7 linked regions of the Macaca fascicularis genome follow. The protein of the gene in region 3 purifies or fractionates together with the protein of the main gene of each other region. This does not show direct contact. Links are inferred from orthologs where the notes say so. Each region holds a gene or a part of one and is shown on either strand. Other genes may lie near its edges.

The links.
Region 1: the proteins of MAX (region 3) and L3MBTL2 purify together in Homo sapiens (affinity purification with mass spectrometry; 6 studies listed by BioGRID and IntAct, with this or other methods). This does not show direct contact. The link is inferred for Macaca fascicularis from reciprocal best matches to the Homo sapiens genes MAX and L3MBTL2.
Region 2: the proteins of MAX (region 3) and TFDP1 purify together in Homo sapiens (affinity purification with mass spectrometry; 5 studies listed by BioGRID and IntAct, with this or other methods). This does not show direct contact. The link is inferred for Macaca fascicularis from reciprocal best matches to the Homo sapiens genes MAX and TFDP1.
Region 4: the proteins of MAX (region 3) and MNT purify together in Homo sapiens (affinity purification with mass spectrometry; 7 studies listed by BioGRID and IntAct, with this or other methods). This does not show direct contact. The link is inferred for Macaca fascicularis from reciprocal best matches to the Homo sapiens genes MAX and MNT.
Region 5: the proteins of MAX (region 3) and TRRAP purify together in Homo sapiens (affinity purification with mass spectrometry; 6 studies listed by BioGRID and IntAct, with this or other methods). This does not show direct contact. The link is inferred for Macaca fascicularis from reciprocal best matches to the Homo sapiens genes MAX and TRRAP.
Region 6: the proteins of MAX (region 3) and WDR5 purify together in Homo sapiens (affinity purification with mass spectrometry; 4 studies listed by BioGRID and IntAct, with this or other methods). This does not show direct contact. The link is inferred for Macaca fascicularis from reciprocal best matches to the Homo sapiens genes MAX and WDR5.
Region 7: the proteins of MAX (region 3) and E2F6 purify together in Homo sapiens (affinity purification with mass spectrometry; 5 studies listed by BioGRID and IntAct, with this or other methods). This does not show direct contact. The link is inferred for Macaca fascicularis from reciprocal best matches to the Homo sapiens genes MAX and E2F6.

What each region holds. Positions count from the first base shown.
Region 1 is NC_088384.1:10,407,013-10,411,203, forward strand, and holds the start of L3MBTL2 (lethal(3)malignant brain tumor-like protein 2), read right to left. Parts: upstream 2,801-4,191; 5' UTR 2,786-2,800; coding exon 2,610-2,785; intron 1-2,609. UniProt on the Homo sapiens protein: Putative Polycomb group (PcG) protein. PcG proteins maintain the transcriptionally repressive state of genes, probably via a modification of chromatin, rendering it heritably changed in its expressibility.
Region 2 is NC_088391.1:104,025,194-104,028,693, forward strand, and holds part of TFDP1 (transcription factor Dp-1), read left to right. Parts: intron 1-89; coding exon 90-211; intron 212-1,612; coding exon 1,613-1,778; intron 1,779-2,246; coding exon 2,247-2,390; intron 2,391-2,873; coding exon 2,874-2,942; intron 2,943-3,500. UniProt on the Homo sapiens protein: Can stimulate E2F-dependent transcription.
Region 3 is NC_088381.1:132,922,108-132,926,168, forward strand, and holds the start of MAX (protein max), read right to left. Parts: upstream 2,801-4,061; 5' UTR 2,786-2,800; coding exon 2,546-2,785; intron 2,125-2,545; exon of another isoform or gene 2,072-2,124; coding exon of another isoform or gene 2,015-2,071; coding exon 1,988-2,014; intron 1-1,987. UniProt on the Homo sapiens protein: Transcription regulator. Forms a sequence-specific DNA-binding protein complex with MYC or MAD which recognizes the core sequence 5'-CAC[GA]TG-3'. The MYC:MAX complex is a transcriptional activator, whereas the MAD:MAX complex is a repressor.
Region 4 is NC_088390.1:2,519,650-2,523,696, forward strand, and holds the start of MNT (max-binding protein MNT), read right to left. Parts: upstream 2,801-4,047; 5' UTR 2,435-2,800; coding exon 2,362-2,434; intron 1-2,361. UniProt on the Homo sapiens protein: Binds DNA as a heterodimer with MAX and represses transcription. Binds to the canonical E box sequence 5'-CACGTG-3' and, with higher affinity, to 5'-CACGCG-3'.
Region 5 is NC_088377.1:47,584,194-47,587,693, reverse strand, and holds part of TRRAP (transformation/transcription domain-associated protein), read right to left. Parts: intron 1,829-3,500; coding exon 1,625-1,828; intron 1,540-1,624; coding exon 1,345-1,539; intron 814-1,344; coding exon 529-813; 3' UTR 1-528. UniProt on the Homo sapiens protein: Adapter protein, which is found in various multiprotein chromatin complexes with histone acetyltransferase activity (HAT), which gives a specific tag for epigenetic transcription activation.
Region 6 is NC_088389.1:5,237,859-5,242,110, forward strand, and holds the start of WDR5 (WD repeat-containing protein 5), read right to left. Parts: upstream 2,801-4,252; 5' UTR 2,597-2,800; coding exon 2,362-2,596; intron 2,122-2,361; exon of another isoform or gene 2,003-2,121; intron 1,916-2,002; exon of another isoform or gene 1,253-1,915; intron 1-1,252.
Region 7 is NC_088387.1:110,643,199-110,647,154, reverse strand, and holds the start of E2F6 (transcription factor E2F6), read right to left. Parts: upstream 2,801-3,956; 5' UTR 2,522-2,800; coding exon 2,414-2,521; intron 1-2,413. UniProt on the Homo sapiens protein: Inhibitor of E2F-dependent transcription. Binds DNA cooperatively with DP proteins through the E2 recognition site, 5'-TTTC[CG]CGC-3'. Has a preference for the 5'-TTTCCCGC-3' E2F recognition site.

The sequences.
Region 1 (4,191 bases), on a different chromosome or scaffold from region 3:
GTGGCGGGCGCCTGTAGTCCCGGCTACTCGGGAGGCTGAGGCAGGAGAATGGCGTAAAAACCCGGGAGGCGGAGCTTGCAGTGAGCTGAGATCCGGCCACTGCACTCCAGCCTGGGCAACACAGCGAGACTCCGTCTCAAAAAAAAAAAAAAAAAAAATACAAAAAATTAACCAGGCGTGGTGGTGGGAGCCTGTAGTCCCAGCTACTCAGGAGGCTGAGGCAGGAAAATGGCGTGAACCTGGGAGACGGAGCTTGCAGTGAGCCGAGATGGTGCCACTGCACTCCATCCTGGGCGACAGCCAGACTCCGTCTCAAAAAAATAAAAATAAATTAATTAGCCAGGTGTGGTGGCATGTGCCTGTATTCCCAGCTCCTTGGAGCTGAGGTGGAAGGATTGCTTGAGCCTGGGAGGTGAAGGCGGTAGTGAGCCATAACCATGCCACTGCTATCCAGCCTGGGCAAGAGAGTGAGATACTGTCTCAAAAGAAAAAAAAAAAGCCAGGTGGTGGTGGTATGCACCTGTAGTTCTAGCTACTCAGAAGGCTGAGGTGGGAAGATAGCTTGAGCCTGGGAGGTCAAGGCTGTACTGAATCATGGTCACATCATTGCACTCCAGCCTAGATGACAGAGGGAGACGCTGTCTCAAAGGGAAAAAAAAAAAAAGGTGTGAAGAGCTCAAATACCATCTCTAGTGCTTACTTGCTGTGTGACCTGCAGCAAGTCAATTTTGCAGTGTTTCAGTTTCCACATCTGTACAATGAGGATAGTACCACCTATTTCACAGGGTTTGGGGGCTGGCCACAGTGGCTCATGCCTGTAATCGCAGCACTTTGGGAGGCCGAGGCAGGAGGATTGCTTGAGCCTGGAGTTCAAGACCAGACTGGGCAACATAGGGAAACCCTGTCTCTACAAAAACTGGAAAAAATTAGCTGGGCGTGGTGGTTAGGGAGGCTGAAGTGGGAGGATCTCTTGAGCCAGGGAGGTCAAGGCTGCAGTGAGCTATGACTGCACCACTGCACTCCAGCCTGGGTGATAGAGAGCAACTCTGTCTCAAAAAAAAAAAAAAAAAAAAGGATTTGGGGGAGAAGTAAGAGACAATACAGGCAAAGCACTCAGAATAGTGACTTGCATATAGTAAGTGCTCAATAAACGTTGCCAACTTTTACTGGTTGAAAGCATAGACTATGATTTGCCTAGGTTTGAATCCTGGCTCTAACATTTATTAACTGTGTGATTTTGTGCGTATTTTATCTTGCTACCCTCAGTTCTTCATCATTACAAGAGAGATAATAAGCTTTCTTTAGATAATTCTTATGAAGATTAAGATATGTAAAGCCTAGTTCTATTTCCAGCAGTCAGTAACAGCTCTAAAAGTGTGACATGCTATTATTCTCCACATTATTATTTTCCTTTACCCTTGCAGAATGTTTGAGCTATTCCACTTTATATTTGCAACTATACATGCAAATATGCTAGAAAGGAAACAGTTCAAATATAGGTACCCTTGTCAGGCAGGGTGACAGAGACCACCTATAGTCCCAGCTACTTAGGAGGTTGAGGTGTGAGGATTGCTTGCGCCCAAGAGTTCGAGGCTGCAGTGCGTTGTCATCACGCCTGTGAGTAACCACTGCACTCCAGCCAGGGCAACAGAGGAACACCCCGTCTCTTAAAACAAATATAAAGTGCCCAGAAACCAAATGATTAAAGGATGAGGCGGGGTGCAGTGGCTCACGCCTGTAATCCCAGCACTTTGGGAGGTCGAGGCGAAGCAGTCAGATCACCTGAGGTCAGGAGTTCGAAACCAGTCTGACCAACATGGTGAAACCTCGTCTCTACTAAAAATATAAAAATTAGCCGGGTGTGGTTGCGCATGCCTGTAATCCCAGCTACATGGGAGGCGGAGACAGGAGAATTGCTTGAACCCGGAGACGGAGGTTGCAGTGAGCCGCGATCGGGCCACTGCACTCTAGCCTGGGCAACAGAGCAAGACTCCGTCTGAAAGAAAAAACAAAAGGGATGAGTGGGTTCCAGGTTGCAGTACAATGTGAAAAGCATAACAGATAGTTTCGGAGGCGGACAGACTTAGAGCCAACCTCCTTCACTTTCCAGCCGGGGTAACTTCCTGGGGCGTCGCACCACCTCTAAGCCTCAGTGGCTTGAACGACAAAGACGAAAGAATAATAATTCCTGTGAGGGTACTGGAAGATAATGCACATGAACGTTACAGACAAGGAGTGATGTTCACCCAACGTTAATCGCCCTTCACTTCCCACCTCATGTAACAGGCCTCACAAGCCCTAAAGAACACGGCCACGAGACAATGAGGATAAAGAATCGATTCAGGAGCTCTCACATCCTAAACCTAGTTCCCCTTCCCCCAGGCCAGGGACGGCTGTTCCTCCCTGAACTCGCCGAACATTGGCCCCAGCAGGAGAGGAGCAAAAAGTAACGCCAGTCGCCTCTGGCCCTGGCTCAGTTTAACTATCTCAGTTTATCCATCCTTCCACCTTCCATCCTCCAGACGTCGCTAAAAGCCCTAAAGAAGGGTCCACGGAGCGAGGATCTCGGGGTTCCCCTTCCAAGTCACGCTAAGTCCTCTCCTTCTCACCTCAATACTCGGGGGCTTCTCCATGAGACCTCAGTTTCGCCAAGCGTCACCAGGTGCAGGAAGCCATATTGGCCTCGTCGCTCTCCACGAGAGCACTCATTGGTCGCCTCCCTGAGCCGCGGGCCAATCACGCTGCAGGAAGGAGGAAAAGCCGGTTCCGTGCTTGCTCGCGCCATTCTCTCCCTTTGGGCGGGGAAATCGCGGGCGCTTGTGGTAATTGTAGTTCGCCTTGGGTGTGCAGGGTGGGACGTTACCATAGTGACGTGGAAACCAGGAACGCTGGAAACCTGGTGCGCCTCACGCCGACTGTTCCAGTTACGCCAACCTCTTGACTTCATTGGGATGTTATTCACTAAACGGTTACTGAGCACCTATGATAGTCACTGTTCCAGACTCCAGGAATAACCTCGTACTCTCCCGAGTTAGGTATTTAAGGTGTCCTTTTGCTGGGATGCATAGCAGAGGGACTCATTTCCAACTCAGGCAGAAACTGAAATACTCCAGATTGAAAAGAAGAAAAAAAAAGAAAGAAACTGGAATACTGTGTGTGTATGTGTGTGTGTGTGTTTTCTTGAGACGAAGTCTTGCCCTGTCGCCCAGGCTGGAGTGCAGTGGCGCGATCTTGGTTCACTGCAACCTCCACCTTCCGGGTTCAAGCGATTCTCGCGCCTCAGCCTCCCAAGTAGCTGGGATTACAGGCGCCCGCCACCAAGCCCGGCTAAGTTTTGTATTTCTTAGTAGAGATGGGGTTTCACCATCTTGGCCAGGCTGGTCTTGAACTCCTGACCTCATGATCCACCCGCCTCAGCCTCCCAAAGTGCTGGGATTACAGGCGTGAGCCACCGCGTCAGCTGAAACTGGAATATTCTTTTTCTCAATGCTGTAAGTGTCCAGCCTCCTCAAAATCTTGCAACCTTCCTCATGCACCACTCCCTCCTGGGTAAAAACCTTGAATCTGAGGCTCTCTGCCTCATCCCGTTAGGGTTTCCCACAACCTCTTTAGACACCCTGAGTTCTAGGTGCTGTTGTGGAGCTTTGCAAACATCTTTTCAAACCCTTACACATCCTATCACCATTTGAAAGAAGAGGAAGTGGTGGCTCTTCAGGTTTAGGCACTTTCCAAGATCACACAGGATAGGGATTCCAAATTTAGTACAAATTCCTTCCCTATGCTATGCTGTGTCCCAATGAATTAATTGAGACTCTAAATGCAATATGTGGAGGCTGAATACATACAAAACATATGCCTAAATTTGAGGTCCACCATGGAGATGTGAAACTCTTCCTAGATGTCTTTCTTTCCTTCAACCCCTTCCACCCTAAACCCCTGTATCCATGCTGCCAACATGTTGGTTTTTCTACCTCCAAAATATATCCTGTATTTCCTCCACTACCACTCTAATACAAGCCACCGGCCCATTTCAGCAGCCCTTCAAGTGGTCACCCTTTCTTTCCTTCCTCCCTCCCTCCCTCCCTCCCTCCCTCCCTCCCTCTCTCTCTCTCTTTCTTTCTTTCTTTCTTTTTTGAGACGGAGTCTCGCTCTGTTGCCCAGGCTGGAGTGCAGTGGCACGATCTCGGCTCA
Region 2 (3,500 bases), on a different chromosome or scaffold from region 3:
GTGGCTGTGGATAGCGAACAGTTGGTGGGCGTGGCACCCTCGCCGTGTGGGCGGGGACTGACTGTCTGAATTGTCTTTTTTGACTATAGGTAATTGGTACGCCTCAGAGACCGGCAGCGTCAAACACCCTGGTGGTAGGAAGCCCACACACCCCCAGCACTCACTTTGCCTCTCAGAACCAGCCTTCCGACTCCTCACCTTGGTCTGCCGGGTGAGCACTTCCCTCCGGACCCTTAGAGTTGTAGGATTGCTTGCGGTTCGCACCTCCACGTTCTCCTGGGCCACGTGCGTGACACAGTCGCACGGTGGGGCTCCCATGCGCATTGATGTCAGCCTCCGAATCACACTCACCCATCATCGTGCCCCGCACAGGTGTGCAGTCGAGGCGCACTGCCTCGGTCACGGAGAAGTCGGGCTGGGCACTGCCCACCCTGCTTTGTGTCTGGTGTAGTGGGTGCTCTTGGAAGGGCTGGCAGCTCTTGGCCAAGACGGGGAGAAGCTGGCCTTGTACTTGCCACAGGACCTTGGAGACTTTTCATCGTCTGTGCTGGGAGCACGCGGGATGGATTTCACCCACTGCCCCTGAATGCAGCCTCTACTGCCCCTGGGGTTACGGCCCCCGTGAGTGGTCCCACCAGAGTGGCTCCTTCCACTAAAGCAAGATCTGATGAGCTGTGTCTTTCCTTAAAAAAACACACATGCAAAGCTACAAAAACCTACCTGTGTCGGTGCCCAAAGCTTCACCAGCTGGGACCGCAGGTGACCTTTCCCGCCACGTGGGGACTGACCAGAGTGTAGAGTTGGGCTTTCCCTCTGTGTGAAGAACACTTAGTGGTTTGCACCTGTTGTCAAGCGGCTATCACAGCCCAAGCCGTATGAAATTATAGCCTGCTGAAATTTGTCCTAAAAATTCCCAAATGTACACTGAAATGTCCCATAGTTCCTGATTCTGGTTGCCCTCTTTAGAAAAGTGATGCCTGTGGCTCACACCTGTAATCCCAGCCCTGTGGGAGGCCGAGGCCGGCAGATCATGAGGTCAAGAGATTGAGACCATCCTGGCCAACATGCTGAAACCCTGTCTCTACTAAAAATACAAAAAAATTAGCCAGGTGTGGTGGCGGGCGGGCGCCTGTAATCCCAGCTACTTGGGAGGCTGAGGCAGGAGAATCGCTTGAACCCAGGAGGCGGAGGTTGCAGTGAGCCAAGATCGTGCCACCGCACTCCAGCCCACTACAGAGCGAGACTCCATCTCAAAAAAGAAAAAAAAAAAAAGAAGTGCTTGGTGTACTGATAGGCCTCTCATATGCTGAGTACTGATAGGCCTTCCATATGCTGATTCGGGTCCTGGGGACGCCTCCCGTTTTCCCTGACACTTGGAAGGACAGAGGTGCAGCCTGCCAGGGAGACACTCGCTTTCTGACCTGCAGGAGCACTGGGCCTGGGGGCTGGGGCTAGGTGGTCCTGGCCTGCTCACGTGTTGGATCTGCTGCGCCCGTGGGATGTGGCCCCTTTTTGTGCAGCTCATTAGAGCTCTCAGGTAAAAGCATTCCTCGATTCAGACTGATGCTCAGGAGGGCTGACGGTCGCTTCTTTTTTCCTTTGTATTTTGAAGGAAGCGCAACAGGAAAGGAGAGAAGAATGGCAAGGGCCTGCGGCATTTCTCCATGAAGGTCTGCGAGAAGGTGCAGAGGAAAGGGACCACTTCCTACAACGAAGTGGCGGACGAGCTGGTCGCGGAGTTCAGTGCTGCCGACAACCACATCTTACCAAACGAGTCAGTAAGTGTGTGCTGGGGGCCGAGAGGCCAGGGTAGCGGAACCAAGTGGTGTGGCACGTTTTACTCTTTTAATATTGGGAACAGTTAAAACCATACAGAAAATTCCAAGTACAGCATGACAGAATTTTTCCCAGTCCATTTGCTGGCATGATGCTCTGTCAGCGTCAGTGAGCGAGCACGTGGGCTGGCTCTGCACATCCAGCGGCCCAGAAATGCAGACGTGCCCTCCTCGCCAGCTGGGCTCGACACCCGAGGGCCCCCAGCTCCCCTCCTGGAACACACTGGGATTCGCACAGCCCTGTCTTGCCCTGCATCATCTGTAGGGTGGGAGTGCTCCCTGAGGACGTGTTGGGGTGACAGCTCTGTGAGCGGGGTGCCCCTTCAAGCCGGTGCACGTGGCCTACAGTTTAAGGTGGGATCCACAGGCTTTTTTGGATCATTTGGAAAATCCACTCCCTGTCATCCGCAGGCTTATGACCAGAAGAACATAAGACGGCGCGTCTACGATGCCTTAAACGTGCTGATGGCCATGAACATCATCTCCAAGGAGAAGAAGGAGATCAAGTGGATTGGTCTGCCCACCAACTCGGCTCAGGAATGTCAGAACTTAGAGGTGGCCCTTCAACCTTGATTTCCCTTCAAGTCTGTGTAGATGTGTTTGTTGTCCGTCACTCAGAAGGGTCTGGGCTCCATGCCCTTATGCTCTCTGTGTCCAGACGGCTGGCAGACGGTCATGCAGACGTCTCCCTGCGTTTCTCAGTCTCGGCTGTCAGGGGAGGGAGCATGGTTGGCCCAGACCCACTAGAGTGTGTTAAACTCTAGCACAGGTTAATTGTGAATCCTAGTTTGTGGGATTTTTGTTTTCTTTTTAGATACCATAGTTAAATCCAAGAAATGAGAGGAGAGGGGAAAAGGTATAGTTTAGAAATGGAAGAAAAACTCACCTGTATTTTGTGGCATCTGCTATGTCTAGATTTGTCCATATCCCTTCGATTACATTCAAGGTAAACATAGGTAACACTGAGGATGCGGGTTGTAAAATGCACTGTATGGAACAATCGTGATGATTCTCTACATGGGGGGTTTGTTTTTGAAGGTGGAAAGACAGAGGAGACTTGAAAGAATAAAACAGAAACAGTCTCAACTTCAAGAACTTATTCTACAGGTAAGAGAATACATATCTTTGGAGGCAGGGTAATTTTTATTTTACTAATTTAGTTTTATAACAGCAACATACTGCCTTGGGTTACGCTCCTGTGTGGCAAATTAAATGACTGCTTTAAGATTCTGAGTGTGAGTTCATCTCATAGGTGTTGAATGTGGGCCGTGTTCCCAGAGCGAGGTTGTGTATGTGTGTGCGTATGCATGCATGCGTGCGTGTGTGTGTGCATGTGTGTGTGCACCTGCGTCCATGTGCCTGTGTGTGTGCATGTGTGTGCATGCCTGCGTGTGTGCCTGCGTGTGTGTGCACGCATGTGTGTGCGTGCCTGCGTGTGTGTGCCTGCATCCATGTGCCTGTGTGTGTGCATGTGTATGTGTGTATCCCTCGTCACAGTGTCTAAACAGCCAAAAGACAGATGGAGGGATGACTTCATGCAAAAGCAGCATTTGAAAAATCCCCTCAGAGGTGCTTAACCCAAGGCCCAGGTGCCAGGCGAGGCATGTAAAACTGTGGTGGGCGCAATGCACCTGGGTCTTGACAGTGCTGATCAGGGCCCTGGAG
Region 3 (4,061 bases):
AAAAAAAAAAAAAAAAAAAAAAACTTTCTCTTACTAGGATTCAGTATAATTCCAATTCAAAGGATAATTCTGCAAAGGAAGCCTAACGATCCTTACCCTCTGTCTCTGATCAAGCCCTGGCACAGATTTTACAACTGGAGACTTGCAGGAAAAAAAAAGTTTTCAACAGACTAGGCCCCAAACATGAAGGATAAAAGTAAACGAAAAAAACGAATTCAATTTTCAAATATATGCATAAGTATATGAGAATACTTCAAGGATAAATAAAACAAAATAAATTATCTTTAATGACTATTACCCAGGGATAATTTTTAAGATTTCTGGAACAACTACATCCCCGGATTTTAAGAAAATACCAGCTCTCAATAAATAAGTTTTCTTAATGCCTATTTGCTTAGACAACCTGCATAATCTTTGCTTGCTCTAATGAAGAGCAGGTACAACTGAGATGGCTTGCCTTTATCCTGTGATTATTAGGTTCTTATACCAGAGGTATCAAAGTGACATCCTGCAAATTCTAACAAGCCCAAACAGTTGTTCCACACATCATTTTAAAAATCAGAAAAATAACATAACGCTTTGGATTTCTAATCTTTCTTAAAAAATAGGAAGATCAGCTGGGCGCGGTGGCTCACGCCTGTAATTCCAGCACTTTGGGAGGCCGAGGTGGGCGGATCACGAGGTCAAGAGATCAAGACCAGCCTGGCCAACAAGGTGAAACCCCGTCTCTACTAAAAATACAAAAATTAGCTGGATGTGGGGGTGTGCGTCTGTAGTCCCAGCTACTCAGGAGGCTGAGGCAGAAGAATCGCTTGAACCCAGGAGGCGGAGGTTGCAGTGAGCCGAGACAGCACCATTGCACTCCAGCCTGGTGACAGAGCGAGACTCTATCTCAAAAATAAATAAATAAAATAAAATAAAATAAAAAATAGGAAGATCTGGCAATACTGACCCTTCACTCCTACATAACAAACCACTGGAATTCAGTAGTGGCTGACCTTTTAGGAGAGGCATTGCTCTCCAGTACCCAAGTCCTCACCTCTTCTTTCTTTATTCTTTATGGCCCTCATGGGCATTCAAATTTTTTACCCCCATTCTATACACTTCCTACTGTTCCCAATTTCAAATATTAGAATTCTGATATACTTATTTCTCTTCCCCTCTGATTCTGATTTATTCTATATGTTTTCTTTTTTTCCCCTCTAATCTATTCATGAAAAACCCATATTACTGTCTCAGACTCCAGAGACATGAAATTAGTGCATATCTAAATCCACAGAACCATCTACTGGGAACATTAATATCAAAACCCTAAAAAATTATTGATAACATTATATGGTCTCATCCATCACCTTTCAGCAAAGCTCTTCCTGCAATGCCACTTTTCTTCAGCTATTTTTTAATTTTCTTTATACCTCTTCTTCAAATACAGAGAATCAGACCATAATAACTTTATGTGACACTTTGATGATGCAACGTTTGGCTCCTCTACATTTCCAATTTTTGTGTTAGAATACCACATTGTGCTAGATTCTACAGGTCTATAGCAGTCACATGACTTGGTTAAAGGCGATTATTGCATGTGGCTTCAGCTTCACATAATTATACAGATATGGTTTAAAATCTACTTGTTCCTAAATAAATCTTCTGACCACTTTGCCCTGAAATAATACTACCACTGACTTCAGAATGCTGCATTTCTCATTTCCACTTACATAGCGGCAGCTGGATCCCCTATTTGAAAACTACAGAACAATTCAATTCTTTGCATACAGCTCCTCTTACTGAACTTATCACCTGAGAATCTAGAATGATAGGATTTGCAACTCCCCCACCCTCCAGAACCAGGCCCCACCTCACCTTAGTGGTTAACATTAGTGATTTACTACAATATTAAAAGTAACAGTACGATCTCTTTTTCTCTCTGACCCCAAAAAGGAATAGAACTGAACGGAAATAAAAATGAAATGGAGAGTAGGAGACGTACCGCAGATTGAAACCTCGGTTGCTCTTCCTGGAATAGGAGAGAAAAAAAAATAGAAAATATAGAAGTTATTTTTACACTTAACATTCAATAATAAGAAAGAAAATGCCGGCGGCAGAGGAAGCGGAGGGTGGGGAGTCAGCCCGACACCCCTTCCTCCCTCCCCACCCCTTGCCCCCACCCTTCCACCCTCGGCGGGATCCGGTAGCGGGATAGAGGGGTCCCGAGCGCCGCCCCTCCTTCCGGGATCCGACCCGGGCCAGAGGGGTCCCGAGCACTGTCTCCTCCCTGCAGACCCAGCTCGGGCATCTAGGCACCCCCAACCCCTCTCCGCCCTTCCTCGCCCCCCAGGATCCGCGGGTCACGGGAGGAGAGGATCGCGTTCCGAAGGGGCAGGTCCTGAACGCCGTCCCCTTCCCCTGGATCCGGACAATGGGATCCCGGGCGCCCCCCATCCTTGTCCCCCGGATCCTGAGCCCGGGAAGGTGGGAGCGGGAGGCCGCAGCACCCTCCCCCACGGGAGAAGGTGGGAGTCCCAGAAGCCGCGTGTCTTCCCCCCACCTCCAGTCCCAGGAGGCCGCTCCGGCCAGGAGCCGTAGGGGAGCGAGCCGGGAACGCGACGGAGGCAGTCCTGGCCCCGAGGGAAAGGGGAAGGGGAAGGAGGCGGCGGCGGCCCGGCCCCCTCCCGCCGTCGCCCCGCTGAGAGCCCCGGCCGCTGTCCCCGCCTGACAACCCGCACGGGAAGGAAGAAGCCCCAGGACTCACGTCGCTCTCCACCTCGATGTCATCGTTATCGCTCATTTCCTACAGCCCAGGGAGCGGCCACTGCAGCGGCGGCGGGGAGGGGAAGGGGTGAAGGGGAGGGGGAAGTCACCGACAACAACAAGCCGAGTCCCCCCACACACACACTCACTCACTCACTCACTCGCTCTCTCACTCACACACACACACAACACGGGCAAGAACCACCTCCTCACTGCAGCACCGGATCAACGGCGGCACGCACGCCCGGTCGGCCCCCGCCACGTGACCAAGCTCGCAGCGCTGGGGCAGCCGAGACTTGTAGTTTTTGTCCCTTTGACAGACGGCCCGGGTAACTCCAGAAAAACTACAAATCCCGGAAGAAACCGCATCCAGGCGTCGCCAGCCAGGCTGGTAGACGGAGCCCAGGGCGCCTGCGCGTCCCGGAAAGGGGGCGGGGAGAGCCGCGGCGCGGCGCCTCCTGGGAGTCGTAGTCCGCAGACCGCGAGTTGTCAGGAGATTTTCCTCCAGAGGCGGCAGAGGAGGCTGCTGGGAAGACAGGACACGTGGAGGGAGCTGGAGCTCCTGGAGCCGGGCACCGTCGGCGCGCTGAACGCCGGGCCCAGGGGACTGGGTGGAGTCTCTGGGGGAGTAGCCGGCTGTCTAAATAATGCTGCCTCTTTTTGGTGTGACTGGTTATACTTTGTCTTCTTGATGCGAAGTGGTTCTGTTTTGCGCCTAGGGGCGTAACCCGCCCTGGAGGGAATCCGGCTGCGGCGGAACAGGGGGTGCGGCTCGGGATGCCGGCGCGAACCCTCGGGAGCTGGTGGGGAGGTATCAGTGGCAGGTGTTTCGTGGTGTTACCGGACAGGCAGGATGACCGACCTCGCCGGGCGACCGCTCCCAGCCGCGAGAATCCTGTATTCATTTATCCGGGAGTGACCATCCTCGCTACTCAGCTACTCGCGTGAGGTTCCAGCATTCACAGAACGCGAACCCTCAACCACTGTGGACGTGAAAGTAAAAGCCCTTTAGAGTTTGTTGTAGCCCAGGCAGTTTAGGCAGTATCCCAGCTCAGAGTACCATAATTAAGATCGCAAAAAGGATCAATATGGGAAACTTGGGCAGTTCCCTGTCCAGTTAAAATCATATTTATATACTGTGGCATGAAGTGTAATCACATCCATTCCACCAATATTTTTTGAACACCTAACATGTGCCACAAGGGGATGCCATAACGGATAAGACCAAAACCATCCCTGCCTTAGGCCAAAACCATCCCTGCTTTTATGCATGCAGCTCACAGCTGTGCAAGCAAACGTGTCTGCCCTGCCGC
Region 4 (4,047 bases), on a different chromosome or scaffold from region 3:
CCAGGATAGCTCTGCCCTTTCTTCTCTCTCTGACGGGCACACACATCTGCAGGGTCCTCATGTGAGCACACTGGCTGGTCTAGGTCAGAAACCCATGCTTGCGGTTGAAAGGGAGAATGGACAAGAGGATCCCTGTCCAGAGCTGGTCCTAGGTCCTGGGAAAGCGTTCTGGTCAGCAGGTTCACCTACCATGCCCTTCCCTCCCGTTCGTCCTGCCCCAGCTCAGAGGACAGAACGTCAAGAGGGAGAAGAAAATGAATTCTGGAGGTGAAACTGCTGGGACCGGTTCTGGCCACCTGTACATGAGTTTTTGAGTAGATCCGGCTTTCCGCACCCACTCATCTCCAAAGACCTCTGACCAACACCAAGCAGCGGTGACCAGGCCGCTGAACTCGGCCTAAACACAGTGGGTACTCGAACTGCAATGTGTTGGTGGCGGCAGCAGGTGACTTAGTCTCTCCGAACCTTGTGCACGGTCTTCCCCTGACCCCTGTGCCCAAACGTAGGACATTCTTGGTCACCACGGGCACTCTCCACTGCCAGACCCTGCTCTGAACCCCCAAGGCAACAGGCGGGGAGTGTTGGTGACGTCCCCGCCCATCACTTCTGCAAAACCCAGGCATCTGGGTCTCACATATTTCCAGTGACTCCTGACCTTGAGAGGCCGGTCGCCCCGACTAGGCCGGCGGCCCCGCAGCTCCCCCGCCCCTTGCCCGCTGCCGCTCCCCGCTCCCCCCTCACTGCCCGCCGCGGCGGCAGCACACGGCGGCGCGCGCGCACACAACACACTACTACCTCCTGCATGACTCATCATTGAAGCAACAATAGGCAGAGAGAAAGGAAAGGAGGGCGAAGCACTCTCTCCACCACAACCAACCCTGCCGGGGGATTCTGGGGGGCGGGGAGGGCACAGGAGTCCCCCGGTCCTGCACACACACCGTTCCAGAGCCGAGGCTCTGGCAGCACCCTGGAAAAGGAAGATCTTTCCCCCCAGCCCCTCTGCAGCACCCTGAAGCCAGGGACCACCAACAGGGCGCGTGAAGATGGGAGTCATTAGTCTCTTCCCTTTAGAGGAAGCGCCGAAGTTTCTTTCTCAACCTGGCTCATTCCAGCGTGGCCCCGGGTGATGCCAGGGGGCATGGTTGGAACGTTCTGGGGGTCAGTGGAAAAATGTGAGCTCTAAATGTCTCGTCGCCCTGCGATTCTGAGGGTTTCCCTTGCTCTCGGGATCAAACACAGGAGGTTAGGGGCGAGAGCCGACAGGTGAGCTCGGCTCCTCCCTCGCAGGGCAAAGGCTCTCCCTGGGAGGTGCCCAGAGGCCGGGGCCCGCGCCCGGGCCCAACCCAGCGCAAGGCCCCTTGCCAGCCCCGCCCAAGCCCCGCCCCCAGCCGAGCGCGAGGCGGTGAGGAGGGGCCGGGCCGCGCCGTCCCCAGCAGGAGTGTCCCCGGTGCACGTGGTCGGGGGCGGAGCCCGTCCACGTCACCACCCGGTGTAACCAACGGGCTCGGAACGCAGGCACACGCAACATTCCAGGCGAGAGCGGGTTTGGAACGCGCAGACACGCCACATTCCACACTGGCTAAAGCGGGGCGCAGCGAGGGGGACCTGGGGGCTGCCCCCCAGCGACCCGCGGGCCATTTCGCAAACGCCCAAGTAGCCCGGCTTTCACCCAAACCCCGGACGCGCGGCCCAGCCCAGCTCTGGGAGGCGGGGTCAGGCGGGGCTGGCCAGGATCATAAGACACGCGATGTCATTTCATTCTGCAAAGGCCGCCTCCGCCCCAAGCGGCGCGTAGATCTGCCGGGAGCGCCCCCCGCACCCTCCCCACGGGGCCAGGGAAGCCGAAGAGCTGCTCGGCGTAGAGTAGTCCCCACCCCCACTCCGTTACACACACGCCCACTCGTGTGCTATACACACGCCCGTGTACACGTCCGTTCATCTGCTTTTCCCGAGGCTCACATCACACATCCCCCGTGCACACACGCACGCACACGCGAGCCTGCCACCCCCACGCAACACCATTCCTCACCCCACCCCCCGGCTCACACATCCTCAGTGCCACCGAGGGCTCCGCTGGCCCACGCAAAAGCAGCCCCCCACGGAAGGGGCACAGGAGTGCCAGGCAGCCAGGGTGGCGCCCGCAGGAGCCAGGTCCCTCGCTGCATGTTAATGACTTCATTAATTAATTTCACTGCCCACATCACCCCTCCCCGGGCGGCGGCTCTCGCGGGGAGCCGTGCGCTGCCAGGTTCCGCGGGCCGCCCGGGAGGGGGCCCTGTCCGCGGTTTCGCGTGGGTTCGGGGACCGGGGTCACTCGCTTCCCCTTCCCCGGTGCCCCAGGGGCCCAGCCCGGCCGCTCACCACGTGCTCTCTGTTGTTGCTGCGCTTGCCATTCCAGGAAGCGGGCCGCCTCCAGTAGCGTCTCTATGCTCATCGCGCCGAGAGCTGCCGGGGGCGCGCCGGGGCCGAGGCTGCGGCCCGCGAGCCGGGCACAGGTCAGGCTGGCGGGCAGGCAGGAGGGAGGGATCACCTCCGGGGGGCGACAGGGCTGGGCGGCGCAGTGCACTCCGCAGGGAAGAACGGGGGAGCACGGGGAGAAAAATCAATGTCTCTCAAAATATTTGCAAAATATAAAATTGCAAATTTAAAAAAATGGGTGCAAAAAAAAAAAAAAGGCGGCACTGCCTCCCTTCTTCCCCTCCCTCTCTACCTCCCTTCCGATGCCTCCCGCCCCGCGGCCCCCGGGAGTCCCGCCGACAAGAAAGGGCTTTGCAACAAGATGGCGAGGAGGCACCGACACACACAACAAGGGAAGGAGCCGCGCTGCCCCCGGCCGCCGCCCCCGCTACTACACCGGGGCCACAGCCAAAGCCCGGACCGGAGCCCCCGCCCGCAGGGCCGCGGCGTCTCGCGAAGGGAGGGGCGGGTCCTGCGCTGCTGGCCCCGCCCACCGGAGCCGGCGCGCGCACACGTGGCCCGGGCAGGGAGGGAGAGGTCAGAGCCGGGTGTGCGCGCCGTGGTTCCGCTTTCCAGCTGGCCCCGCCCCTGCTGCAAGCCACAAGTTGGGCCGGGGCGGCGCGTTTGGGTCGTTCACGACGAAATCTGTCCTGCTGGAGGAAGGGAAGGATGAACAATTCAAGATTTAACAGAGCTCCAATCAGGATATTCCGGGTCAGGGAAACCTTGGGAATGGCAGAGACTGGCCTGACCCTGGGTCTCCACGCTCCACCCACTCGCGACCTAAATCCCGCAATCGCCCGGCTGTCGCAATTCCCCCGGGATCCGCCCCTGGGCGGAGCTGCCGGCGGCTGGAGACTGTCAGAGAACCAGCGGAAGGAGCGGAGCGAGAGTCCGGCTCCGCGTTTTGTCTCCGTTCCTCCCCCCGCAGTGCGTTCGCATCCTATTAGGCGACGTCACCGGGCTGCGGGCCAATGGGCGGGCAGGACAACACGGCATGGAGCAGCTCCACATGGACACCCCGCGCCGCCAGCCTTCGGTTTAAAGGGCCAGTGTCTGCAGGTCACATTCGCGGGTGCGGATGGGGCCACTTGGCGAACCCAGGGTGGGACGCCGTAAGGGAAATCCCGCAGTCATGCCCTGGCCTCCCCATTCCTTTTCGCCACCCTCCATTTAAAACCAAACCTTTATCTTTCCTTCCCCTAAACCCCAGTCTTTGTCCACGCGTATTCGATGTGGGTGGAGACACGGACTGTGCCACCCCATGGGCCACCCTTTGCTCTGGGGCCGGGGCCCGGGCAGGGAACACGAAGCGCCCGCAGCCAAGGCCCTGGGGGCGTGGCCCAAATCGGGAACAACAACGTGGAGGGCGGAAGCCCGGCCCTCCCCGCGCCTGGCGACCGGCAGTGGGCGGGACGCGGGGGCGGGGTCCGCTGCGTCCGGCTGGAACCGCGCTTCCCAGAGGGAGGGACCCCGTCGCCCGCCCGCCCGCCTGCTTCTTCCTGGCGCGAGTGTTTAGGGGAGCCCGGGTGCAGTCGGAGAGTTAGTCCTTCGAGGCCGGCGGGCCCTAAATCCTCTCACTTCACAGAT
Region 5 (3,500 bases), on a different chromosome or scaffold from region 3:
AAGGCTGGCTGCGTACAGCCTAAAAGTTTGTGCTCAGAGAAAAACCAGCACGATGGGTTCATCATCTGTTTCTCAAACCAAACGGGTTTTCTGTACACTTGTTACAAAGGTCTGTACAAAAGCAGGAAGCTGCTGTGAGGTGTTATTTCCGAAAGAGTTAAAAATGGATGGTAAGGAGCGGTTCGCACAGTCCCGCCTGTACGTTCACAGACAGAGGACACCATAAAAAAAGGGCTCACCCAGAAATTCCAGACCGGAGAATCCTGGTTTCTTAAAAGATTATTTTAAAAGCTTGCAGGAAGTTTCAGCTCTGCCATTTCTAACCGCCTCGCCCAGCGTCGTCATAGTTCAGCTTCCTCTAAAACTAAATTCTCCCTCTCACACACCAACTACCAGGAAAATAACTGCAACCCAGTGGAACCGCGGGGCTTCTGAGAATAAAAGGAACGAGGCAGGGACAAGTCGTATAAGCTGCGGGCTCAGAGCCTGGGGCGCCCTTCACATTGCGGGTGGCCATGGCGGCCGCGGTCACAGCCAGGGGTGCCAGGCAGGGTCCATGCGGCACAGATTGTCCAGGCTGTTCGCTGCGGCCACCAGGGTGTTCACCTTGCTTTCCCCGCCTTCGAACTGGGCGAGGTTGTGCAGGCGGGTCATGATGGCGGTGACGGCTTTCTGAACCAGGGACACCAGTTGCTGGCTGTCCATGTTCTCCGGTTGCCCGGCGGCCGAGAGAGGAGAGGACGTGTCCTCCTGCGTTTTTTTGTGCCAAGCAATGATCTCATCCCGGAGAACTGTTTTCAGAATGCCGTCCACCTGCGTGAGGGAGAGAACGAGAGGACGTGTGTTTAACCAAGAACAGCCCAGAGGGGCAGCTTCCTAACAGGGTGGGACTCAACCACAGTGGCCGCCCAGGGCCACCGAGGGCCCGTCAAGCCTCAGCACCAGGCCAGGCTGTGTGCTCTCAGGATGGGCTGGGGAAGCCGCTGAGGGACAAACCCCTTCCTCCACTTGGAGCAGCAGCCAGAAAGCCTCCGTGTTGGGCAGCACAGACCCGGACGGCAAAGGCAGCCATGCTGCGACTGGGGCCCGATCTTTTTATTTGTTCACTTGACGCCTTCCAGCGTCTGCCCAGTGTCCAGCAGGCCCATTCCAAGCACTACAGACGAGAGTGAACCAAAGAGAAAACCATCCCTTGCCCGCACAGCAAAGGACGTAACACGGGTGCCGGCCACTGTGGAGAACGCAGAGCCCGTGAGGCAGATCAGCAGCTCCTGCAAGGCCGTGGCGCTTGGGCATCTGAGTGGCCCCAGCCTGTGCCCATGACAGGACGACGCGGAGACCCACCTTAAAGTTCGGCTGGGCGAAGCACCGGGCAACCGCAATCATGGATGCCGTCAACGGGCCGGAGACACCGATGGTAGTCAGAAACTCAGAAATGTTGGGCGTGAGTCGAAACGGGACAGGACGGTTGGCATCTAGGTCTCCAGTGGCGTCGTTTATGTCAAACCGAAAGTAGGCAACATTCAGTTTGCCAGTGTCCTAAATTTCAGAAGGAGACACTTTAGGAACTTCAGCAGAAAGGCAATGTCACGAGGAGAGGATCTGGCAGTTCAAACCAGGTTACCTGAGCGATCTGTAACATCTCGGGGTTGAGTCTATTTAAATGCAGGACGAATTCCGCGAAGCCTATCAGAGCCAGCTGGATGGTGAACATCTTCCGGAACGTCCAGTAGTCCGTGGCGTTGGGGAAGGTGTGCAGCGCCCACTCCTTGAGCATGCTGCGTGGCACCATGTTACTCTGAACCTCCTTGAGGATGTCGCGGAGGACCTGAAACACATCACCCCGTGACACTCCCATCTCACTCACTGATTTTTTTTTTTTGGCAAAAGAAAAACTCTCAAATTGCAATTCCTCTTTAACTTAGCACCGAGAGTAAATTCTGGTGACAGATTTAACACGCGCATTGTTAGGAGACTGAACGTGAGGAGGCGCAAGATGGCTGCCTCCGTCCAGGGTTCGCCGCCGTCTGCTCTAAAGCACCAACGCAGCTGGTCTGCGCCAAAGCCGCAGTTACCTGACATGCGATACCTGACAAGAATGCAGGCAAGTATCTGACACTTCCACCCTTGCTGACCACAGAAGGTATCAGGCCAATTAACAGAACACAACAGCCGGACACCAGCAGCACCACTTCCAACCAAGACCTTATACTAATGACCAATATTTCACAAACTGAAGGAGCTGGTCTAACCACACACACACTCGAGACTGAACTCCGTACTCATGGACTATTGCAGACATCACCAACTCAGAAAGTTTCCTTAGTTAATGGAGTTCCTGTTCGACCATCTGGTAGAGGCACAGGGTCTCTTCCAGACTAAGTCCTACCCACGTGCTCCGAATGGCCGTGAGGCAGAACGTGAGAAAGGTCGTGAGAAAGTTCTTGCCTTCCACCGGGAAGAACAAGGCAGGCCACTGGCCACACACGCAGTTTGTTTCCTCATCTGTCAAACGGGAAGGAGCACTTCTGAGACGGCAAAGGATTTCCAAAGTCTGCTCCTGAAGCAGTTAGAATGCTGGCAAAACCACCAAAATCAACTTTGTCAGAACTCTAGGAACTAAAGGCTTACAAGTCTGAGGAGCTTTTTTTAAAATTTATTTAAAAAAACCCAAAAAAACAAAGGCTGGGCTGGGCATGGTGGCTCACGCCTGTAATCCCAGCACTTTGGGAGGTCGAGGCGGGCAGATCACAAGGTCAGGAGTTTGAGGCCAGCCTGGTCAACATGGTGAAACCCCGTCTCTACTAAAAATACAAAAATTAGCCAGGCGTGGTGGCGGGCACCTGTAATCTCAGCTACTCAGGAGGCTGAGGCAGGAGAATTGCTTGAACCCAGGAGGCGGAGGTTGTGGTAAGCCGAGATCATGCCACTGCACTCCAGCCTGGGCGACAAGAGCAAAACTCCATCTCAACAAAAAAAGAGAAAAAGAGAGAAGAATGAAGGAGTAGAATAAATAACAAAACAAACAAGAGGCACATAGAGGAGGAAGTGGCTCTGAAGCTGGATTCCTCTGTGCTGTGGGCATCTCCCTCTGCCGACAGGCCCTGACAGCTGCTAACCTGGAACAAACATCCCAGTTGGACACTCACGCTGTTTAGAAACAGGATGACTCTGGGGTCAGCACGTATTTGTCACTGGCTTCCACGATGTCGAAAGTTAATGTTGCCTTAAGAATATAATCCATTCTTCTCCTGCAAATACCTCAGAACTGCCCATTGTCCACAGAATGACCAGGCCATGGCCTGTGCCACAAAAAAGCCCTGGCATCAGTTCCCACGAGAGGCCATGCACTCTGTCAACAGAGGCTGATCAGAAACAGGGATCCATGCCTCTGCCTGCAGAGCTGGAGGCTGCACCTGACCCTGCAGCCTGGAACACCTTGGGCCCTGCCGTGCCCTGGGCCACAGAGGACACCATGGGCTCAACCTTCCTCAACCACA
Region 6 (4,252 bases), on a different chromosome or scaffold from region 3:
CCAGCTACTCGGGAGGCTGAGGCAGGAGAATGGCGTAAACCCGGGAGGCGGAGCTTGCAGTGAGCCGAGATCACGCCACTGCACTCCAGCCTGGATGACAGAGCGAGACTCCGTCTCAAAAAAAAAAAAAAATACAGTGGCAGGGTGTGGTGACTGACGCCTGTAATCTCAGCACTTTGGGAGGCCAAGGCAGGAGGCGGGCAGATCCTGAGGCCAGGAGATAAAGACCAGCCTGGCCAACATGGAGAAACCCCGTCCCAACTAAAAATACAAAAATTAGCCGGTGTGGTGGCGGGTCCCTGTAATCCCAGCTACTTGGGAAGGCTGAGGCAGAAGAATCGCTTGAAATTGGAAGGCAGAGATAGCAGTGAACCAAGATTGCACCACTGCACTCCAGCCTGGGCCAAAGAGTGAAAAATTCCGTGGTGGTGGTGGTAGGGAGAGAGATGCAATTTCTTGACCCAACACACCTGCCAAGTTTCTACCTCAGTAGTGGCATCTAGGCTTGGCATTTTTTTTTTTTTTTTTTTTTTAAGACAGAGTCCAAAGAGTCCAGCGGAACGATATCGGCTCACTACAACCTCCACCTTCCGGGTTCAAGTAATTCTTGTGCCTCAGCCTCCTGTGTAGCTGGAATTACAGGTGCGTACCACTACACCCTGCTACTTTTTTGTATTTTTAGTAGAGACAGGGTTTCGCCATGTTGCCCAGGCTGATCTCGAACTCCTGACCTCAGAAAATCCGCCCGCCTCAGCCTCCCAAAGTGCTAGGACTACAGGCGTGAGCCACCGCGCTGGGCCAAGGCTTGGCATTTTCATGACCAACCAGGTGTCTCTGTGGAACAATCATTTTGAGGGAACAGGAAGGTTGGAGACTTGATACTGAGGAAAGGGGGGGGACCGAGGTTACAGGCACGGTGATGAGGAGGTGACCTCTAGACCAGCTGCTGCCTGGCTCCACCTAGCAGCCACTGCTTTTCATCCAGGTAAGCCTGACCACCTGAAGCCCAGCAACCAAATCTCAGTATGGCCTCCTGGACTGCATGCCACAGGCTGATGCCTGAGTCCCTCAGTCCCTGAGATCCAGCCCAGGAACCTGCCTGCGGCGTGCAGTCAGGAGAGCACACTGTGTGCAAAGACAAGAATTAATCTGCATCTTCAACACCAGCCAGGTGGCCAGCCCAACACAGGTGGGAACCCGGCTCTACCTCTCTGAGATCCTGGACAGGCTCCCGCCTGGGTCCTTCGCTTACCTGTCTTCCCCACCGGCTAGCACAGCACCTGCCCAGGTCACAGATTAAACTAGCATTTGAAGAGATGGGTAAACGGACCTGGGTGAGTGGAAACTTGCAAGCGAGACAGCAGGGAGTGTCGTTAGCGATAAATAACAGGCCGACCTCAGTTTGGTCCCGGAACGTAACCGCTCAAAATGGCTCTCGCAGATCGGCCAGGACAGGTCTGCGGCCCCGCGCGAGGAGGCACGGTGGGCCCCCCGTTTAGGACCGAGGACCCGCACCCCAGGACCCCACCTAGCGAACTGCAGCCTGGCTGCCTCGGGTTGGGGTGAGCGGCGGGAGCGGGCTGGGGGCGTTTCTACGAGGAGGGGAAGCGCACCACGTCCAGGGACTGAGTGGCTTGGTGGGTCTGGGGTCCTTCCTTGAAGGGGCAGAGGAGGAAGAGGGGCGATGTGAGGCCGGTACGCCGCCTGCGGGAAAGAGGCCCCAGTGCCGGCGCTCTGGCCTTGTCAGTGGCCCGCCGGGGAAGCGGAGGTGGGGGCGCGAGTGGGGGCGGACGGGGTGGAGGGGCCTACGCGCGCAGCCGTCCACCGAGGGGCCAGGGCGGGGGTCCCGGGCGGGGCCGCTGCAGCTGGAGCAGCGCCCGGGGCTGGGCCTGGCCCGAGGCCCGGCGGGGAACACGTGCGGCGGCCGGGGGTGGTTTGGCGGCTCCTGGCGCCGCCCCGCTGCCCGCCTTGCGCTCCCCGGGCCGGGCGGCTACCCGCTTACCTGCCGGGCCGCGGCGGCGGGGCCGGGCGCTCGGGGCGTCGCGTCGGCCGCCGCCTGGGCGGGAGCGCGGACTCAGCTCGACGAGGCGGCAGCTCGGGCGGGCGCCAGGCGGCGGGGGCGCAGTGCGCGTGCGCGAGGGGAGGGGGGCGGTGTCCGGGGGGCGGGGCGAGCTCACAAAGCCGGCCTCTCGGAGGAGCGCTACGGGCAGCGGCAGCGGCCAGAATGCCTCGGGCCGGCCCAACGCTTTAAAGGGACAGCACGGGGCGCGTGCTTCCCGCTTAAAAGCTTTAATCTCCGAATTTGGCTGGTGCAGGCCCTCCTAATGTACTTCCTAAAAATTGAAGTATAATGATACATACAGGAAAGTGCTAGTGTGCCCTCGCGTTTCCACAGACAGCACGCCCTGCACACAGACACAAGCGGCCCTCCGGGACCTGCGCAGATGGCGTCGCCCGGCGTTGTCCCCGGAGTCAAGTCGGACCGGGGCACCTCCCCGGGCGACCAGGCCCCTTCTTGATCATCGCTGGTACGGATGAGAGCAGCAGTGGGCATTTGGAAAACACCCGGGACCGCTCCCGGGCGCAGTGCCCCCATGTGGCCTCCCACCCCAGGCGGGTAGGACGACTCCTGCCCATTTGGAAGACCAGGAACCTGCGCGTTCGTTCACAGGGTTCGGAAGCCCGGGCTGCGCCTTCCCGCGGGGCCGGCTGCCGGGCTGCGGGCGCTTCCCGCCTCTGCATGCAGAGCCCGCGGTGCACGAACCTGCTCCCCGCCAGCCCCGCGGACTGGCAGAGCCGCGCTGGAGTCACTCCGCAGTGCGCAAACTCACTTCGCAGCGGGCTCTCTGGGGGCCAACCCTTCCCTCCTGGGCGGGCATTTTCTCCTCCAGGTACAACGGGGTGGTCCCCAGAGGAGGACTCAGGGTCTTAAGGAGAAGCTGAGGCCCGGTGCTCTGGCCTCGACGACTGCACATTCTCGCCTGCTTCACTTCGTAGAGCCTTGGAGGTAGGCACGGCCTCCCTATCCCCTCAGCTAGGCCTGTGGGTAGAATAACGCAGTCCCTTATTCTCCAATTAAAAATGGGAACACAGAATGTGACACAGGAACCCGTGCAAACAAAAGGACAGAGCGTTTGAAATAAAGATGCCAAGGAGGGTGAGGTGAGCGGTTGTCAGAGAGGTGGAACCGGAAGACTGGCAGTTGGTCTGGAGTCCCCTTCCCAGGAAGGACACAGAGAAGGCGAGGTCCCTGTCTGGTCCTTCAGGGCTCCAGGTGGATCTGTGTGCCCAAAAGGCTTGATCCCTTGGGCCAGGTGCCCTGGAGCATGGAGTAGTGACAGTCACAGGTTAGCAAACCCAGTTCGGAGAAAGAAGCTCATCTCTATCTCTGGCCGCCTGGGCCGGAATCCCGAGCCCGTGACGCGCTGCTCTCCCTTCCACCCCGCCTCAGCTCCCAGATCGCCCACTTCTCTCCCTCCTCACCCCAGCCCTACCTCCCACCCGGGTCTTTTTTAAACCTGCAGACAGAGAAACTCCTAAAAATCCAGCTCTGATCTGTCACTCCCCAGTTTAAAACTCAGAACCAGCTTCCCATTGTCCTCAATTCCCAAATTCCCACTGCCCAATTCGGGTAAAGTGCTTACCAGACCCCGCCTCCTCTTCCAAACTACCGCCGCCTCCCAAACTGCAGCCCGCGTTCCAGCCCCAAAACAAAAGTATTTCCAGTCCTTCAGCCCTCCAGGCGAAGCAAGATAAGGGGCTGGACCCCAGAACTATCAGAACTCAAACCAGGTTCCCAGCTTCCACTTCCAGGTGAATTGATCTCACCACCCCATCCCACCCCCAGGAGATAGAGCCTTCTAGTAAAAACGAGATAATCCCACCTGGCGCGGTGGCTCACGCCTGTAATCCCAGTACTTTGGGAGGCTGAGGGGAGTGGATCACCTGAGGTCGGGATCACCTGAGTCTGAGGCTGAGGCAGGTGGATCACCTGAGGGTGAGGCAGGAGAATCGCTTGAACCCAGGAGGCGGAGGTTGCACTGAGCCAAGATCGTGCCACTGCACTCCAGCCTGGGCAACAAAACCAAAACTCCGTCTCAAAAAAAAAAAAAATTGTTCAGAGAAACAGTTCCATTTACTAAGTCACTCCTGGTGGCCAAAGCCTAGTTAATGTTCTGAAAAACAAATATCCAACATGTTTGTTCCTTTTCTGTGATTCTTATTTTCTCTTCTGTTTTCACCTGCGATATTT
Region 7 (3,956 bases), on a different chromosome or scaffold from region 3:
TGCATGCAAACTAAGTGGTTTTTCCACAGTGAGCTTAGAGTTTTTATCAAATTCTCAAATATTAAGACGACCAATACAGATGGTACCAATATACAGCTGATCCTCAAACAACACAGGTTTGAACTGTGTGGGTCCACTTAGATGCCAATTTTCTTTACCCCCTGCCACAACTTAGAGAGCAAAACCAACTCCTCCTCTTACTCCTCTTCATCAGCCTACTCAGTGTGAAGACAAGGATGAAGACCTTTACGATCATCTAATTCCCCTGAATGAGTAGGACTTTCTCTTATTTATGATTTTCTTAATAACGTTTTCTTTAGCTACTTTATTATAAGAATACACTAACTAATACATGTAAATACAAAATATGTGTTAATCAACTGTTTACAGTATCAGTAAGGCTTCCAGGAAACAGTAAAGTTTTGGGGGAATCAAAGTTATATTCAGATTTTGAATTTCATGTGATTTGGTGCCCCAAACCCTGAGTCGTTCAAGGATCAAATGTAGACGGTAACATAAGTCATGGGAGGAGAGAATGAACTCCCCTAAGAAGAATGTGTAGAGACAGCAGAAGAGAACCCTGAATATCATCAACATGTGGCCAGCCACGGTGGCTCACACCTGTAATCCCAGCACTTTGGGAAACTGAGGTGAGAGGACAGCTTGAGCCCAGGAGTTCAAGACCAGCCTGGGCCACGCAGGAAGACTTCCATATCTAAAAATAAAAAAATTAGCCAGGCCTTGTGGCATGTGCCTGTGGTCCCAGCTACTAGAGAGGTGGAGGCAGAAGAATCACTTGAGCCTGGGAGGTCAAGGCTGCAGTGAGCCAGGATGTGCCACTGCACTCCAGCCAGGGTGACAGAGTGAGATCCTGTCTCGGGGGAAAAAAAAATGAAGGACTGGGAAGAGGATGAGGACAAGGAGAGCCCAGAGAAGCAGATGGAACATCAATGTCAAGGAAACTCAAGGGAGAGTTTCCAACACAAGTAGTTTTGTGTCAAAACTACAACAGCTGCTGGAATTGACGAGATTGTCGGTGACCCTGGTTAGAATGGTCTCACAAGTGTGCTGAGGATAGGGGTCCCCAGCAGTGGGTTGGCTGATAATGAGACGATCAAGTGGAAAGAGTGAGTGTAAATAACTTTTTCAAGAAGTTTAGCTGTGAAGGGGAAGAGAGACAGTAGATGGCAAGGGATATGGAATTAAGGGAGGGATCTTTTAAGATGGGGATGGATTGAGAATGTGGTTTTAGTAGTCAAGAATTTATCATCTGGAGTTAGACATTTGGAGGTTCAACCCAAGTTTCTCCACTTACTATCTAGCCACAGGCAAGCCGGCATTACATGCATCTCCAGGTCTGTTTTGGCAACCGTAAAACAAGAATAATAGTCTTTTACTATTATAAAACACTGCTGTGAGAAATTAAATGAGACAATAATCACAAACTATTTGGTATGGGGACCAGGCATAATGACTTGGGAAAATGTTTAATTACTACTAGTTATAGGAAGAAAGCAGCAGAGAAATTGAAAATATGGGGAGAGGCCGGGCTCGGTGGCTCACGCCTTGTAATCCCATCACTTTGGGAGGCCGAGGCGGGTGGATCACCTGAGGTCGTCAGGAGTTCGAGACCAGCTTGGCCAACACGGTGAAATCCCGTCTCTACTATAAATACAAAATTAGCTGGGTGTGGTGGCGCATGACTGTGATCCCAGCTACATGGGAGGCTGAAGCAGAAGAATCGCTTGAACCTGGGAGGCGGCGGTTGCAGTGAGCTGAGATCGTGCCATTGCACTCCAGCCTGGGGAACAAGAGTAAAAACTCCATCTCAAAAAAAGAAAAAGAAAATACGGGAGGAATGGAAAAGAACGCATTTGTTAAGGACCTTGAGAACCGGGGAATACAGTATCTGGTCCAGAACAAGAGTAGAAGAAATCAGTCTTTGTGGGAAAGGGAGCCAAATCTCCTAACCATTTTCTCCGTCAAACAGGTGGGGAGATAATTTTATGAATGGGAGCTGTGGCGTGGTAAATATAAAGCGTGGACAAGGTTTTAAACGGCTGCAGTAGAGCAGAAGAGAGAGAAGGTAGAAGAACAAATGATAGGTTGCAGAGATACAGCTAGAGTCCACTGAAGGAGAAAAACATGGCCTTTCCAATGCAAAGTTGAGCAATTTTCTCCAACAGTGCCCTGAAGTTCCGATGTAAAAGTCCAGAAGACTGACACCACGTCTGTGAACAGATGCTGAAAGCAGAAGGCGGGAGAGCGCAGTTTCGCAGCACGTGATGGGCAGCGCCTGGCCCAGGGGGAGCAGACGACCGAGACGACGGCCAGCGGGGTTGGCGGCGGCGCGGGGAGGAGGGGGCCAGCTTTGGGAGACCCCCGCCCGTCCCCCTCCCGTCCCGGAGCTTACCAGCAGTCCCTCCACGTTGATGGGGTCTCGGCACCGACGGCGAACCGTCTCCTCCGCGGGGTCCAGGAGGAGACTGGGCAACTTCCTCGCCGGCCGCTGCTGACTCATGCTGCCCGGCCGGGCGTCCCGCTCCCCTCGCACCCCGCGAGCTCTCCCGCCCTCTCGCGCGCAGCTCGATCACCGCCCCCCACGCGCCGATTTCCAAGGGCCCAGAAACTGACGGATCCGCGGCGTCCTCCAAGGCCCCGCCCGGCTAGGCCGTCCCACCCGCCAGCAAACGCGGCACTGCCTCACGTGCCCGGGAACTCCCGACGAAGACGGGAAAGGAGGAGGTAGACCCGCGGCTCTCAAGTAGCCCGGCCCGCCATTTTTCCGCATGCGCAGTGTACCGCCCCCCTCTGCGCATGCCCGCCGCGGCCGGAGCGCTCCCACGCACCGATCCTCTCCCGGCGGCTGGCGCCCGGGAAACCCGGACCGCGGAATCCACGGAGAGGCTGGCAAAGGAAAAGGAAGAGGTGGAGCCGGATTCCAGAGGAAGGGAACGGGGGTGAGAGAAAACAGGCAGCTGGGAAAACGCAGCGCTCGCCTGGAATTCTCGACGGTGATAACTGAAAGCTCTCAGCCGCAAAGATGTTCATTTATTCCTTTTTTTAATTTTAATTTTTTTTTTTTTTGTCGCCCAGGCTGGAGTGCAGTGGCGTGGTCAGGGCTCACTGCAGCCTCGAATTCTTAGGCTCAAGCGATCCTCCCACCTCAGCCTCCCAAGTAGCTGGGACTACAGGCGCGCGCCACTGCGCCCGGCTAATTTTTAATTTTAATTTTAGTAGAGGCAGAGTCTCAGTATATTGCACCGACTGGTCTTGAACTCTGGGGCTCAAGCCATCCTCCCACCTTGGCCTCCCAAGTGCTGGGATTATAGGCATGAGCTACCACGCCCGGCCTTCATTTATTCCTGAGCTCTGTTAGCACATCTTACAGGCGGGTCAGTGTTGATGCTTAGTAAATGTGAGCAACCAAACCATTGTGGTATCGTTTTACTTCTGCCTGCCTGCCTTCTTTCCTTCCTTCCTGCCTTCCTTCCTTCCTGCCTTCCTTCCTTCCTTCCTTCCTCCCTCCTTCCTGTTTGATGAATGAGTTATCGTGGACCTATAGTGTCAGATATTGGGGTGAGCACAGGCGATACTTACTCATTTGGATATGCCACAGGTTCAACCTCCAATTTCAGTGGGGACAGATAAGTAAACAGAGCATGTTAATTAAGCTGGAGCCAGAGGTGTGTTTTCAAATCCTGGCTCCTACTTATAAACCAGAAGACCTTATTAAGCCAGTTACTTAATCTGCCTGTGCCTCAGTTTCCTTATTTGGAAAATGCGAATAATGACAATACTTACCTGATAAGGTTGTTGTGAGGATTAAATGGATTAATGGATACAGGTTGCTGTGATTAGAACAGAGGCCAGCACATGTTTGAAACAAAAAGGTAACACACCGTGGTGTGTACAGAGTTGGAGGGAAACAACCGGTTAGACTGGGGGTTTCTACA